Alligator mississippiensis: one gene and its partner. The protein of the gene in region 2 purifies or fractionates together with the protein of the main gene of each other region. This does not show direct contact. Links are inferred from orthologs where the notes say so. Each region holds a gene or a part of one and is shown on either strand. Other genes may lie near its edges.

Region 1 (7,222 bases), on a different chromosome or scaffold from region 2:
CGCCTGGCTAACGAGAGCGGGCCTCTCTGATTATCTCTGCCCAGCCCCCTGGGCCTCCAGGGCTGTTGCCAGGGGTGGGGAAGAACACTTTTTCCCTTGGACGGGCTGGCTCCCAAAGCCTCTGTCTCCTCCAAGCTGACACTACCTACCCCATGTCACACCATCCCTCATGGCCCCCATCCTGCCCTCCCACCCCTCGCAGCAACCTCCCAGTCCAACCAACAGCAGCGCGAGGAAAGATGCATGGCCTAGTGGTTACAGCATGGCCTAGTGACTCTGCTACCAACTCGCTGGGGCAAGTCCCTTGACTGATGAGCACTGGAAGAGCGAATCCTGGCCAGCACAGAGCGGGGTGGGCTGCGGGGCCTCCTTCACGGATGCGTGGTGCCCCAGGAGCAACGTGGGCAATAGGGCTAGGAGGGACATTTGAGGGCTCTCCAGTCCAACTCCTGCTGTATAAACGGAGCCGGCTCCATCTTAAAACCACCCGCAACGGATTCCTCTTGAAATCACACCGCTTCTCCCAACCAAATGCCCTGCAGATATTCAAGCCACGCCATCAGCTTGAAAACCAGCCATGCTTCTGTCCAGAAAGAGCTTGCCACAACTCGTGTCTGAGCTCTCTGGAATCCAGTCTGCCTGCCAAAGTTACAGTGCAAACAACGGCACGGATTTTTTTTTGTTTAAATAGCAACAGCAATTCACTCTTATAATAAAAGTGGTGTATTCTGTACTGCTCAAGACATCCAGACTGGAGGCCTTTCTGGAAGGCGCTTTAGCCAAATCCACGTGGCTGAGCCACACAGAGGGAATGGGGTTACGTTTTCTGGCTTCTGATACAGGAGAGGTCGGGGGCTTGCTTCAAAGCAACCTCCGTGGTGTTAAAGTTTTCAGGTGTGTAACAGGATGATTACTTAAAACTACTACAACCTCCCCAGTTAAACCAGTACAGCATGTACTGTCTGCGATGGGGATAAGCGATGCTGGTATTTAGCTGCCTCCATCTTTTACCAATGTAGATCGACAGATACAAGCCCCGAGGGCTGTCGCATCCAAGCACAGCGGATGTGGCACAAAACACTCATACTGACCATGCAATGTACAGTAACTCCTCTCTGGGCAGCGGAAAGCACCCTGGAGGGCTCCTTTCTCCAGTCACTTCCCTATTTCCTCTCATCTGGATTCAGCTGCAAGGATGCTGCTATCCTTGCGCACAGGGGAGGAGGTTTCTGAGCAAGGTCACAGAGAGCTGTGACCTGGATGGTCTGCTGAGCATCGTGCCTGTGAGCCAGCTTGAAGGGACTGACCCATCAGAGGGTTTCTTTTTTCCCCCCGCTTGCCTGCCTTTGCTGCTAGCTAGCACTGGAGCAGCCACTGCACCTGCTCTGCAGAGCAACCTGGTGATGCAGGGACCAAAGGGCATCCCTTACCCAGCACATGGCACCCAGCTCAGAGCTCACCAGTGCTCTGGGAGAGGCGGCAGGCTCTATCCTCCCATCTACAGGGCTCTCCCAGCTGCAGGGAGTGTCCCCATGGGGGGATACAGTACAAAGCCAGGGAGGGCAAAGAGCATCTGATACCAGGGCAGCAGATTTCTCCACCACTTCCCACAGACATTTAGGCAGCCACTGGCCGGAGGACTGGCCAGCTGGAGCCTCAGGGGTGAATCAGCCCTTCATCTTCCCAAGCAGATAAGTGGAGTCATGCAGAGGTCAGTGGTTGTGCAGGAGACAGCCCTACACCACCGGGCCCATGTCAAGGTCTCAGCTGAGCAGGGAGTTGGTCCCGTGTCCTCAGCCAACGCCAGGCCTCCCTGCTCCCCTGTGCATCTGGCTGTGTGCTGATGCTGGGCCAGACTGAGCCCAGTACCTATGCTGGGGGAGCCTAAAGCAACACCACATCTTTTGCTTCCCACTGCACAGAGACCATGAGCAATGCAAAGAGGATGGGGAGAAAGGATCCCAGCTCCCCTGCAACCAGCTGCACCCACTTTGGGGCTGGTCCCAGGGCTGTGCAAGCTGCGATCTCGGGGTATGGGGGCTGCCCTGGGGTACGGGAGCTCTGCGCCCTATGAGCCAGGGAGCAATGCCCGGTTCCAGCAGGACACCAGGTGTTTTCCTGGTACAAAGGACTGCACAAAACCATCCCGCTGCAGCACGACAGCTGTTGTGACTGCTGACGTCTGTGCAGGTGCCTGACCCGAGGCTGGGCTCCACTGGGCCACGAGCCGCACAGACCCCTGGGGAGAGACAGGCTCTCCTGCACAGACACGGCAGGCCGTGTATAGGAGGGGAAACTGAGGAAGCGACTTGCCTAAGGACACCCGGCGGGGTAGCGGCCATGCCAGGAGCAGAACCAGGGGGCTGTACGTGTGCAGTGATGTTCGTAATCATGCACATCACGTGTGCAGTGATGTTGCAATCATGCTGCTGACGTGTGCTTGCAACCCAGCTGGTGCCCAGAGCTGCCCGGCCACCTTACCTGGAGAGCCTGCAGCAGCTGGGAGCACTTCTCTTGGGTCTCTCCAAAGGGGCAGCTCTGGGAGAGCCGGAGTAGCAGCAGCAATGTCCGGTGGAGGCCCGGGGACTCCTCCGTCTCCCCCTGGGACGGGCCAGTGCTGGGGATGCCGCTCAGCAGCTCCCGCCCCAGCGCATCCATCGTTTCTTCTCTGGTCCTCTCGCCTCGACTGTACAACCCCACCCATCTCCCAGGATCCAGGCCCCTGGGAGCCACAGCTCCTTGCTCTCCTGCCGGCACAGCACTGGGCACAGGGGTGCCACCATCCGCAGCTTCCCCGTGGTCCATCATTGCAGCACAGCCACGGGGAAGTCACAGGGGACTCGTCTGGGCCCAGGCTTGGAGGCTGCCTTCCCCCCAGTCAGCCGGCGCTGGTTTCCCGGTTGCTTCACAGGGAGTTTCCAAAGCTGCAGGCCCATTCACGCCACGGTCCGGCCGCCCCTGGCTCAGTCCCAAGGCGAGCTCCTGCCTCTCAGCCAGCCGGTTGGGTGCTCTGCAAAGCAAACAGACGGACAAGTCAGGCCAGGCCTGGGCAGGCTGAGAAAGCATCCCAAGCAGATGCAACGTGATCACCCCGAGAAAGCAGCCCTAGCTGATGCAACCGGATTGCCCGGCCATCGGGTAGCAAAACCAGCACCACGGCACAGGTAAACGGAGCCCAGAGCCAAGCAGGACATTTTGGGAGACATAGTCCTCTGCGCTGCCAGCCCCACGGCCTGCAGGACTTCCGAGGAGGGGGCCACACTGTCCACATGTAACCTCCCCCCAGCCCCATAGATGCCCCATCTCAGAGGATCCCTGTTTCTCGTTAGTTATGAGCTCCTAGCGTGATGTTGTAACCAAAAGCCCCGTCGGTACAGGGGGAAAGCAGGGAGCAGAAGGCAGGGGGTGTCACCTGGGTGCAGGGCCTTGGGGAGACCGAGCTGGTCCAGGTCTGGCGCCTGCCGTTCGGGGCAGGGCACTGAGAACATGCCAAGGGGGCAGGACAGGCCCTGCCGGCAGCAGAAAGAGCCCTGCAGCGAGAGACATGCCAGCTTCATGCAAAAGGAGCCTGAGAGAGGAGTGAGCATCATGCACGGTGTAATACTCGCCTCGAGCCGGCACAGGGCTCGGTGGGGGCCAGCAAGGATTCCAGCACTCCCAGGCAGGACTCGTTTCCTTCCTGCCCCCTCCTCTGCCAGCCTCTATCGGAGGCAACAACGCAATATCCGAGCGAGACGACAGCCTCGCCCAAGTGGAAAAGACAGCTCCACCTCTCGGTGGAGGTACAGACGCTGGCAGCCCGTGCTTTCACAGGGAGATCATATTTTAAATGGGCCTGGTTTGCATCTTCGGTGCATCGCTTTTGCAGCACGTTGCGCTGCTCACGCTGCGCTTGGAAATGCTCGTTTAATCCTGAGTCACAGGGAAGAGTTTCTTCCTCCCGAGTCCCTGACAACATCTGCAGCGTTTAGGAGGTCCCCGGTCAAATACTGACCTGGCCCGATCCTGTTCAGCTTCTGCGACTGGAAAGGATCGTGGCATGTGCTGCTATGGCTGCCACACAGCGCGGGGCACCCAAGCCGAGGAAACATTCATCACGGTGTCATTTTGCCACCGGCTTGCTTGTCCAAAGCCTATCCCCTTTATTGCAAATCAATAGGAAGCAGCTGAAAGGAACAAATATGGGATGAAGCTTTCACTGCCTCAGCTCTCTTTGGTGACAAAGCCTTGGGGATTAAGAACCCAAGTGCGGGTTAGCTTGCTCTCACACTGACAAAGCTTTAAAAACATTAGCTTTATATACATATATATATATGGGCAATCCCACAATCTTCCCCATCTCCACTATGAAACTAAAAGCCCCCGTTTGGACTCTCACAGCTGTGCACTTGGTGCTCCTAAGAAACCATGAAGGATGGAAATATCCATCCGTGAGATTTGATACCTGGGAGATTTTAACAGCTGAGCAGCTCCACGTATTCAGGGTAGCGTTGTGCACAGCACGCGCTCGTTTTATTTCAGGTAGAAGACCTTGGTTAAAACGCCGGGATGCCTATGCCGCAGTGCAGGGCAGAGACACACAAGCTGGCTTTCAGTGAGCCAGCTTGGGTCCTGGAAGGCGTGTACAAGTAGCAGCATGAAACTCAGCTAGAAGCAGGGGAAGTCAGTCCCTGTTGAGCCCCAAGACTATTTCCAGTACCGGCGCTAACCTCGTTTTATTGTACGCTGCACTGCAGTCTGCAGGATAGACACGCGCATCTCTCTCAAAAGCGTCGGGTCCTCCAAAAAGGCACGAAAACACACACGCACGCATCCACAAAGGACCCCAGAACTCACGGACAGACTTGATGATCTAAAACCATCTTTCACAACCTTTTTGGGTGGGTGACACTTCAAAGCTAGACATCTTCATGGCCTTTCTTCCCTTTTCTATGTAATGAAAACAATGCAAGCATGATGAGCTGCTATAAGGCAACCCCAGCCACTGCATTTGACTTCACAAACAAGGGAGATTTCAGCCGGCCCCGAGTTATCCTGGCACCTGTGTTTGCTTTGCACTAACATTTCTCAATCGCAACCCCCTCGCCTGCCTGATGACGAGACTCCTCCTCCCCCATTTGCAGAGAGGTTGTGACCCAGTGGTTGCAAAACACCTTCGAAGGTGCCAAGGGTGTTTTGACCTTCCCCGTCAGGCTTCAGAGCTTGCTCTTCAAAAGCAGCAGGAGCCAAGCCCTGTGCTTTCCTAATCAGACAGACCATCACCTGCTGCTTCTCTGGACTTGGCCATCAGGGAAGAATGAGCGGCATGTCGGCAGCACATACCTGTGCTCAAGATTGCTCCGAGCTGAAATGGGAATGTAATTTTTGGGATGGCTTGTCTGCAACGTGAAATGCCCCTTATTCCAAAACCCTATCGGCTCCCCATACAGCACACTTGTCACCTACCCTACACCCGAGACAGCCAAGAAGAGGGTTAAGTTCTGTGCCCAATTTGTCTATTATTTACATGATGCAAACTGAAATAATAATTGACAAGGCACAATCAGGCCTTGCTTTTGGCTAAATCTTCTTCCTTCCTCTTCGATGCCCCGTTACAAGCTCACCCTGTTTGGAAAGCATTTGATCCGCTTCAATGTTACTCCCACCAAGCTTATTTCTGTGTGGCACAGATGGTTGTGGCCACTGAATTACTCACAGCCTGTCCTGTATCTGAACCGAGCCGCGCAGGAAACTTCAGCAGCACCATCTACCACCGGAACGGGCAGCTCTGACAGAATCAAAGCGGGTTGTGAAATTAAGTTGATGAGCTGGAATTTTGCTTCAGAAGAAAACTGGGAACAAACCACAATTCTGATAATGTCAAGATCCTTCATTTTGAAATCAATGTTTGCAGTTTCTGTTGTGCAATTATTTTAAAATAATTGTGTGTCGTATTACAAATTATAATGCAAAGTCAAATCAAAACACATCCACCCAAATGGAGGTTTGGTTTGACTTTAACTTCGTGTTTGGGAGTTTCTGTCCTATGCAGAACAAAGCCACGTTTCAAAATCCATCATCACATGAATTTATGTCCTCTCCAGCTCAAGTCTGCATCCTCCCCCACCACTGCAAAGTAGGGCACTGCTATTTCCCCGTGGTACAAATGGGGAACTGAGGCTCAGTCTCATTAATTGACTTGCCCTGGGCTGACGATGGTCTAAATGCTTCCAGAATCATCCCGCTTCGGCTTCTCTTGCAGCCATGATGTCCCGAGCTGCCTAGGAGGGTGAGATGCACAGTTTCCATTAATCTCAATGCCCCTTTTGCACCCACATCCCCTAGAAGCTTTGAACATGCCACCCTCTATTTCTCCCCTCAGCTGTCTCCTGTTGAATTGCAGTAGATTTGACATGCTCTGGACAAGCATCACATTGGCAAATAGTGCCAGCTGGGTCCTGAAGGATGGTATCCCTTTTATTCACCCGATGGACGCAGTAATGCCAGCAGCAAGGCAAACGCCTCTCTCCATGAGGCCTCAGACCTGAGCTGGAAGTGGCTCCCAGAGAAGGGAAGGGGAGTTCTCCCTCTTTTGCCCTTCGCCGTATGGTATATTTTGTGAGAACGGACACGTGTTGCCAGTAGCTGGAGGGGCGAGTGGTCTCGTAACAGATACTTCTCCATCAGGAGCCCCACGCTGACTTGTGTACAGACCACCAACCAGAGAGGACACGGGCACCGTGCAGGGTCACTACTGCCCCAGGTCTGAATCTGAATCAACAACGCAGAAGCAGGAGGCACATCATGCTACCAAACTCTTCTCCCTAGCCAGGGGCACCCCGTTCCCCTAATGGCCCTAATTTTTCAAAGCACCCGATCTCTCTTTTGGCTTTAAAGGAGCAGCTGCAATTGTGCTAACTAGTGTCAAATCTCCAAGTGCATTAGGCACCTCTGAGCTTACAGGATAATCTCATGCATCATCCTCGCCCAGCTTATGACACTGCTAGAGCCTTAAATGATGGAAATGTTGAACTACAGTTTTTTAGAAGTCAAAAGTTACCCATGGCTTAAAGGAGATATAGATGAGGGCTCGGGATACCCACCTGAATTTCCAGCAGTGCTCGGCGTGACGGACCTGTGGCTACTTGGCAATAATTGGTGAACGCGGCATGTTGACCTGGTTATCGGGAAGTTTGCTATATGAATACGTTTGTTTAGCTAAGGATTGCTCCAGATAAGTCAA
Region 2 (7,838 bases):
CATTTTAAAATGTCTCAACTTAAAAACATTATTTCTGTTACCAAAGTGGCATATTTTTCTGTTACCAAAGTGGCATATTTCCTAGCAGGCTGAAGCTGTCTTGGCTCTTCAGATGTCTGGTAGTCACTACAAATTCATCCAAGGACTCCAAGTAAATGACACCAAGGCACAGATCTCCTATCATTATTATTTTCAGAAATCTAATTTAGGAATGGGGCTTTAAAAGCAAATACACCTGTAGGAGAAGGCAACATTTGTTTTACCTGTTCATTACTTCCCTTTCATTGAGAATACCTTCTCTAGATTGCAGTTATTTCTAGAACAGAGCCATGGTGAGATTCAGGATTTTGAAGACGGGCATGCAGCTTTTATAGTGCATCATCACATAATACAAAACACATTTTTCTCCAGTTAAAGGGAAACTAGATTTATTAATATGCTAGGAGCCATTATTCAGTTTAGGATCAAAGCAAATATAAAACTTTATTGGAACATGTACTAATTTGTTAGTTTTACAAATCAAGTGAAAAAAATACAAAGATACTGTTTTATTAGTCCTGTAGTCATTACAGTTAAATGCATCTCTTTTACTCAGACGTGTAAAACAAATCTAGCCTTCTTGAGAATTTGACTGTATATTCAACACTTCGCTGTCAATTGTCTTTTCACCTGAATTAATATTACTACATCTCAGTTAAGGTTTTTAGCTAAAACTAAAATCAGTCTTCAGGGATATGAAATGGAAGAGATATATTACCAGGAATAGCCAACAGGCAGCACAACTGCAGGAAAAAAAGGATAACTTGATTAATGGAACATTAAGACCATTAAAAGGAGAGAGGGCCACTTATACCTATGGAGTAAAGAGAGATTATCAGGAATCAGGTACTTTAAAGTGAGCCATGAAGTTAATTGACTCCCTCAGCACTGCCTGAATAGAAATGCTGCTCTTTTCTAGGCACTTGGCCTTAAAGCTTGGGTGAAACAGAAATCAAAGTGGGATACAACTGTACAACTACACTCCCCCAACTCCCCAATCTGCCCCTGCAGAGCATAGTTAAGGAGGCTCAACAGCACAAAGCTGAAACCAACAGCTGTCCATGGCTACTAGATTGACTTATTTCTAATTTGGGGGTGGTGGAACGTACAGGTTTCCCTCACTTTATGCAGGTTCTGCATGTGCGAAATCACTCTTATGCGATGACCCTTTTCATACCAAAAATGTATTATATGCGAAGTAAATTCACTCTTAGCAATTGGTATGGTAGAAACCCGCAGTCAGCTGCTTAGTGTGGTGCATTGTGGGAGTAACACACACCAAAATATAGTCTCCTGTGTGGATTTGTATTCCTCGCTGGTTGTCTGCAACACATGTTTCTGTAGTTGCCATCCCCATTATGGTAACATTCACCACCACCCTTTGCTTACGTATACTGCCTGCTGTTGGCGAGTACCAAAATTGTCTTGTAAAAATAAAAAAGTGGTAGAAATAGGTCTGGGGGTCAGTACAGTCGAGGTCTTGGAATGCATCCCTATTTGTTACACTGTAAAGTGAGTTCCCTTTATGAGAATTTGAATCATGCACCGTTGTCCAGGAATGCATGTACAACATAAAGCGAGGGAAACCTATATTCAGAAAAACAGTCCCCTCACCTATCAGGGACAGTGCCAGATTTTAAGCTATATATACTGTTAGGTAACAAAAAAGTGTCACTCAAACATAAGTACTTAAGTGAAATGACTGAAAATGAATTAAATTCATGGAATCCATTTTACTGCTCAAGTATGCATTGTCCTTTAGGTTTCATAAAACTTTGTTTTAAAGAAATTACAAGGATGCTACTGGAAAATTATATAGTTCCCGAAACCAAATTAAAAATAATTGTAGGTAAAACACAAGCCCCCTGAGTCTCTCAGGCTAGTTTTGGTGGTTTTACTTGTTATCTTTATTACCATCGTGCTCAAGGACAAGGTCCATCTCTGCTAAGCACTATAACAGCAGGACAAAGAGGCAACCCTTACCCCAAAGGGTTTACAATGCCAGTGTAAGACAAGAGAACAGATGAGAAATATGTGGAAACAATGAGACCACATTAATCAGGGCCATACAAAGCCATCTCAGAGCATCATTTTATTTGTTTCTGTCCCTGATGCTTCTCAAAACCCTCGCTAAAACAAGAGGAAAGTTTCTATTCAAAGACTGTTCTTGAAAGCAGCCACATATTATGCAAGTGCAAGAGCACAAAGAAAAAAAAAAAAAAAAAAAGAAGAGACAGAGAGAAATCTCTCTCTAGTAACTGCTGCTGCTGGTTTTGCCCTCCTACTCACAGGCAACTCAGGCCCTAAACTGTAACTACAAACAGCGAAAGACTTGCGATAGAAACACGGTTTCACTGGGTTAACACCGTCCAACTCAAATCTAGATTTTCCCCACGGTTCCAGCTGGATTCTGGATTTTCCCGGCCTGGCCCCACACCAGGGCAGCACCGCGGCTCACAGGCCGCGCGGGATGCGAAGCAACCGCAGACAAACCGCCCTGGCGAGGCAGTCGCTGCCCAGAGGAGCTGCAGGCGCTGGGAGGGTGGGTCAAGGGCTGCGCCAAGGAACGGCAGGCGCGTCTCTCCCACAAAGCAGCCGCACTTCAGCACCGGCTGTGGGACCCCGGCAACAACACCTGCTGGGCTCCGGTCCAGACCCGGCCGGCTGCGGGCGAGGGGCCCCGGGCAGCGCCCTGTGCGGGATAGCCTCAAGCCCCGCCACCCCCCAGCACAAAGCCGACGGAAGCGGAGAACCCCCTGCCCTGCAGCCCGGGTTCCTCCCGGGGACAGCAGATTCGCCCCCAGCAAGGGCGGGCAGGGGGGGCGGGCGCATGCGCCCTGCGGCGGCGGCGGGTAGAGCTCACCTGCGAGTCCCGAAACTCCACCACCACGTTCTCGCTGCTCCAGCGCGCCGCCATCTTGGCCGCCCAGAGCAACAGGTGACGCCAGGAAGAGGAAGCGCAGGGGCTGCTGGGAGCTGTAGTTCGCCGCGGGCCGCATGACCGCAGGCGGCGAGGTTAAGGCCGAGCAGAGACGCGCCTTCCCTGCGGCGCAGGTGGCCTGCGCGGTTGGCGGCAGTGGGCCCTGCAGATCGCCTGGTGCAGGGGCTGATCCTCTGTATCTGTAAATGGCTTTTGAAGGGAGCGGTTGGAGTGGTTTCCTTGGCCTCTGGCAGCTCCAAACCAACGATCATAGACCCTGCAGAGGGTACTGAATAGCAGCTCTAGAGCGGGGGTGCTCAATCTCTGGCCCACAGGCCGGATCCAACCCTGGCATCTTGTCATCCGGCTCGTGGGGCTCTCCACAGGGCTGTGGGGAGCCCCATAGGTCATAACCCTGCATGCTGGATCTGGTGTGCAGGGCAGCACAGGGATCCATCTGGCATGCAAAGCCAGGAAGATGTGGCATGGGGGCCAAGGCATTGATCCTGGCGCACAGCCTGGCGGAGGTTGCATGGGGTCCTGGGAAAGCACAGTCCAGATCCAGGTGTGCAGGCCTAATCCTGGGGTGCAGGGGCCAATCTGGCCCACAGGCTGGTCCTGCACCGCTCGCTTACCCTGTGGTGCCAGAAGGTTGTGCCAGTGCTTTTGATACCAGTTTAACGCTCTCCCTCTAGTCTACAAAATCCACTTCTGCCACACGTTGGCAGGATACAGGGCTAGCTGGACTGTTGGTCTGCCCCAGCCTGGCACTTCTTGTCCACAACAGAGCACATCTTTTGTTGCACAGAACTCAGAAAGACCACAACAGGCCAGGATCTTGAGGTTTATCTTGTGAATCCAGTAGGCACACTTACCAGTACTAAGGTCTGGCACCCCATGGCACTCCTGAAAGGATGTCAAAGCACCCCAGGGTGGCCTGGCATCCTGGTTGAGAATCACCGATCTGTGCATTTGCTTAACACTGCTATCATGTGTAGTCCCACTGAAGTCAAATGGGTATTGCACCCTACTAAATTTAAAACAAATATTAGAGTCCCTGAGGAACTGGAACCAGTGTTGACAGCTCCAGCATTTAAGGCTTATGCCAATGTATAGGAACATGAAAGAAGCTGATTAGGAAAGAATTTTCACAGTGAAGTGAGTGAAATGCAAATGTAACACACATAAATAATGAAAAGTAAATTAAATTGCAAAAATTCTGTATCTAGACTTGAAGATAATCCTTGTGGAACTGATGTGTGAATTTCCCAATATAAAGAGTGAATTCTTGGTTTCACTGAAGTCAATGGCAAAATTCAGAGTGTGCGGGCCGGGTCTGACCCCGGGCCCTTTTCGTTGCTCTGCACGTGGGCTGTGGCCGGCAGCCCAGGCAGGCCGGATTGGAGAGGGAGGTCACCGAGCTAGAATTAGGCACAGACACGTAACGGTTGATTTTAAGATTGTTTTACTTACACCGAGATGGTCGTGGCGTAGGCTGAGAACTTGCTTGAGTTGCGGTTACAACAGAAAACACGAACACACGTGGAGGTTGCAAGGTTCCACGCAGACAAAACACGAACAATCACATGGAGCTTGCTAGGCTCCACGCAGACAAACTCCGGATGTCCAGGACAAGCGCGCATAAAACTCGTCGTTACGTCTTATAGTAGGCTCCGTTCGAAGACGGGAAGAGGTGGGCGGTGGATCAGGCCGCCAAACTCCTCTGAGTGACACACAGGGTTTCTATTACCCTGCCGCGCACACCCAGAGTCCCCACGAGATGGGTGCGGAGTCCTCTTCAGCTTGGGCGGAAACTGCTCAAGCCTCTTATACGGCTAGCAGGCCAATCGCTAGCCGCTACGTGTGAATAATTTAGCACTAGCCAATTGCGGGGCACAAATTTGCATACGATGAGCGGGAAATCTTTGCACTGTGCATTTCTGTGTTGCAAAGGGAAATGCACCCTGCAAAGATTGCTGCAAAGTGGCGGGAACACTCCTTTGCACGCGGGTTCTCTGTGCAGCAGAACTCCTCTGTGCAGTGAAGTTGTAAACCCACGGGGATAATTCTTAGTGCTGAAGCACACACAAAAAAATCAGACCTTTGGGTCATGACATCCCCCCTTGCTGAAGGCACAATAGAATTATACTTCAAACCTATCATCTGGGTTATTCATAGCTCTGTCAATGGTTCACAAAACTAAACGAGCAAAAACAAAATCAGTCAACAATAAAAGTTCGTCCTCAAGGGATCGAATCAAATAATAACCGACACACACACATATACATAAAATCACATTCATAACAAAATACTGAATGATCATGACTTCGGTGGGCGTCATGGTGGAATCGCGCATCAGGCCTTCGTTCCTTTCGGTGATGTTGTCCTTCTCGGGGCCTCTCTCCACCACGCACTCTGAATCCCTGATCTGTAAAAGAACTCTCTCAAAATGGTTATTCACAAATCACACAGGACCGCACGATAATGCAGTTGATTAAACTTATCATTACTATTAAATACAAATATGTAAACACGATTTTATACTGGACAGCTCTCTTTCTTTTCACGTTTAGCAACTCGACGAAATCGTCGATGAGTCATCATCGCCTTCTTCTAGATAGTGAAAACCTAACTCGTAGGCTAGCTGCCATTGTCCCGCGTCTCCTAAAATCCGAAGCTGTCTCTTATTAAGTCCAGAGCGCTGCAGGAGGTATCCAAACATGTATCGCTCCTCTTGTGTTCTCTGGCGTAATACTGGACGCTCGGATTCGCAGTGTTTTGTGTTCTGAGCCTCAGTCGGGTGTTGATACTCAAGATCACTGGATAGTCTTGGCTCCATGAGGACGCGCAGTCTTGATAACTGATGAAGGAGACTACTCACAGGATGATCGACCAGTGGGTTCAGCACAATCTGCAAAACCATGATGTTTCTTTGCCTGTAGACTTTAAGATAACTATCTATGCTGTCGAGAGTCACCGGAACAGTTCCAGGGTCTCGCAGGTGACGGTGAGGTCATGGTCGCATTCGTTGGAGCGGTGTTAGTCCCAATGTGCATTCTCTTGGGTTCCAGGCGCAATACGAAACTCCGATAATAGCCAGTACAAGCTGTTCTGCACCGGTGTGCTCTGGTCGGCCGTCGTGCCATGCGTGGGCCTTCTGTTCAATCACTCCTGCCACAAGCGCTGGAATCGGAATAGGCCAATAGATGCTAAACGCCACCATGTCGATGTCGGTGACATGTCCCCTACTCCATGAAGCTTGTCTCACCAAGAAGCTTGCTTCTTCCTGGTCCAGGAGGTCGGACCCAAGTTCCACGACTAGACGTCCCAACCACACAGCCAGAGTTTCGTTGGATCGTATCCTGGATTCCCTACGCAAATTCTGCAGTTCGGCTCTGGAACGAGCGTAATAGGTGGTAGCTTGAACTGCACTCTGTGGACTGATGACTGGGCTGCTTGATACTGCAGGCTGATCAATTTCTTCGCGAGTTGTCGTTGCTGTTGCTGTTTCTGTCGGAGCTGCAGTCATTGTTACAGTGGGAGTCGTTGCTGTCTCAGGCGGGAGGGGCAGATGCACTCCTCCACTTGACTCCCCCTCCCTTCAGCAGAGGGGAGCGGTCGGCGGAACCGACGCTGCGTTGCTGGGCGGAGTTACCGGCCGAACCCTCGCGGGCTCTCCCGAAGCTCCATCCCTCACTTCTGGCTTCTCCACATGGTCTTCTCTCCGCTCGGCGCCATCTTGTTGAGGCTTTTCAAGATCCCTTTTCTCAGCCGCTTCTCCGACCGCCCGAACGGCCATATGCAGCTGGGTCTTTAAGCTTAAAGTTTCACTCATTAAATCAGCCATAGTTTGAAAGGTTGCATTTAGTTTTCCCCCCTTGTCGCATTGTAGGACTACTCTCTCATTTACGGTGCGGTCCTCCGTCTCCGGGTCTTCGCGGAGCTCGGACGGACGCTCACGACCCCTCAGTCTAGGCACCACCATGCAAGGAGAAAACCAGCCGATTGGCATCGTCTGTCCCATCTCTCGGGCACACCGTGAGCAACGGACACACTCCCGGGTGGGGGTTGGGCTTACTGCGCTCGCCGGGTCGACTTTGGCAAGGGTCACAGCATCGAGGGGCCTATACAGGACCCGCTCATCGCCCACGATACACCCGAACGCCGCGGGGTGAAGATATACTTCTTTCCCTTCTAGGGCTCCGACTTCTGGGGTTCCCTCTTCTCCCCTTAACGAAAGGTGTCCATGGACACATCTCCTGCCCGTTCCGCCCGCCTGGTGGTACGCGAGGTGCGCCTCCAGTTCTCTGACGCTTGCTATGCTGCGTCTCCCACTTCTCCAAGGGCAGTTCTCAACTAATTCTAACTCTAGCGAGCCCTCTTCTGATCCCATTGGCATGTGCCGCGGCGATCCCGATCCCATCCTCGTCGCCATGTGCGGGCCGGGTCTGACCCCAGGCCCTTTTCGTCGCTCTGCACGCAGGCTGTGGCCAGTAGCCCAGGCAGGCCGGATCGGAGAGGGAGGTCGCCGAGCTAGAATTAGGCACAGACACATAACGGTTGATTTTAAGATTGTTTTATTTACACCGAGATGGTCGTGGCGTAGGCTGAGAACTTGCTTGAGTTGCGGTTACAACAGAAAACACGAACACACGTGGAGGTTGCAAGGCTCCACGCAGACAAACTCCGGATGTCCAGGACAAGCGCGCATAAAACTCGTCGTTACGTCTTATAGTAGGCTCCGTTCGAAGACGGGAAGAGGTGGGCGGTGGATCAGGCCGCCAAACTCCTCTGAGCGACACACAGGGTTTCTATTACCCTGCCACGCACACCCAGAGTCCCCACGAAATGGGTGCGGAGTCCTCTTCAGCTTGGGCGG

The links. The genes of interacting proteins can lie anywhere in the genome.
Region 1: the proteins of WDR59 (region 2) and SESN2 purify together in Homo sapiens (affinity purification with western blotting; 4 studies listed by BioGRID and IntAct, with this or other methods). This does not show direct contact. The link is inferred for Alligator mississippiensis from reciprocal best matches to the Homo sapiens genes WDR59 and SESN2.

The regions. Positions count from the first base shown.
Region 1 is NC_081829.1:2,266,051-2,273,272, forward strand, and holds the start of SESN2 (sestrin-2), read right to left. Parts: upstream 3,008-7,222; 5' UTR 2,809-3,007; coding exon 2,482-2,808; intron 1-2,481. UniProt on the Homo sapiens protein: Functions as an intracellular leucine sensor that negatively regulates the mTORC1 signaling pathway through the GATOR complex. In absence of leucine, binds the GATOR subcomplex GATOR2 and prevents mTORC1 signaling.
Region 2 is NC_081833.1:40,993,171-41,001,008, forward strand, and holds the start of WDR59 (GATOR complex protein WDR59), read right to left. Parts: upstream 3,007-7,838; 5' UTR 2,957-3,006; coding exon 2,903-2,956; intron 1-2,902. UniProt on the Homo sapiens protein: As a component of the GATOR2 complex, functions as an activator of the amino acid-sensing branch of the mTORC1 signaling pathway. The GATOR2 complex indirectly activates mTORC1 through the inhibition of the GATOR1 subcomplex.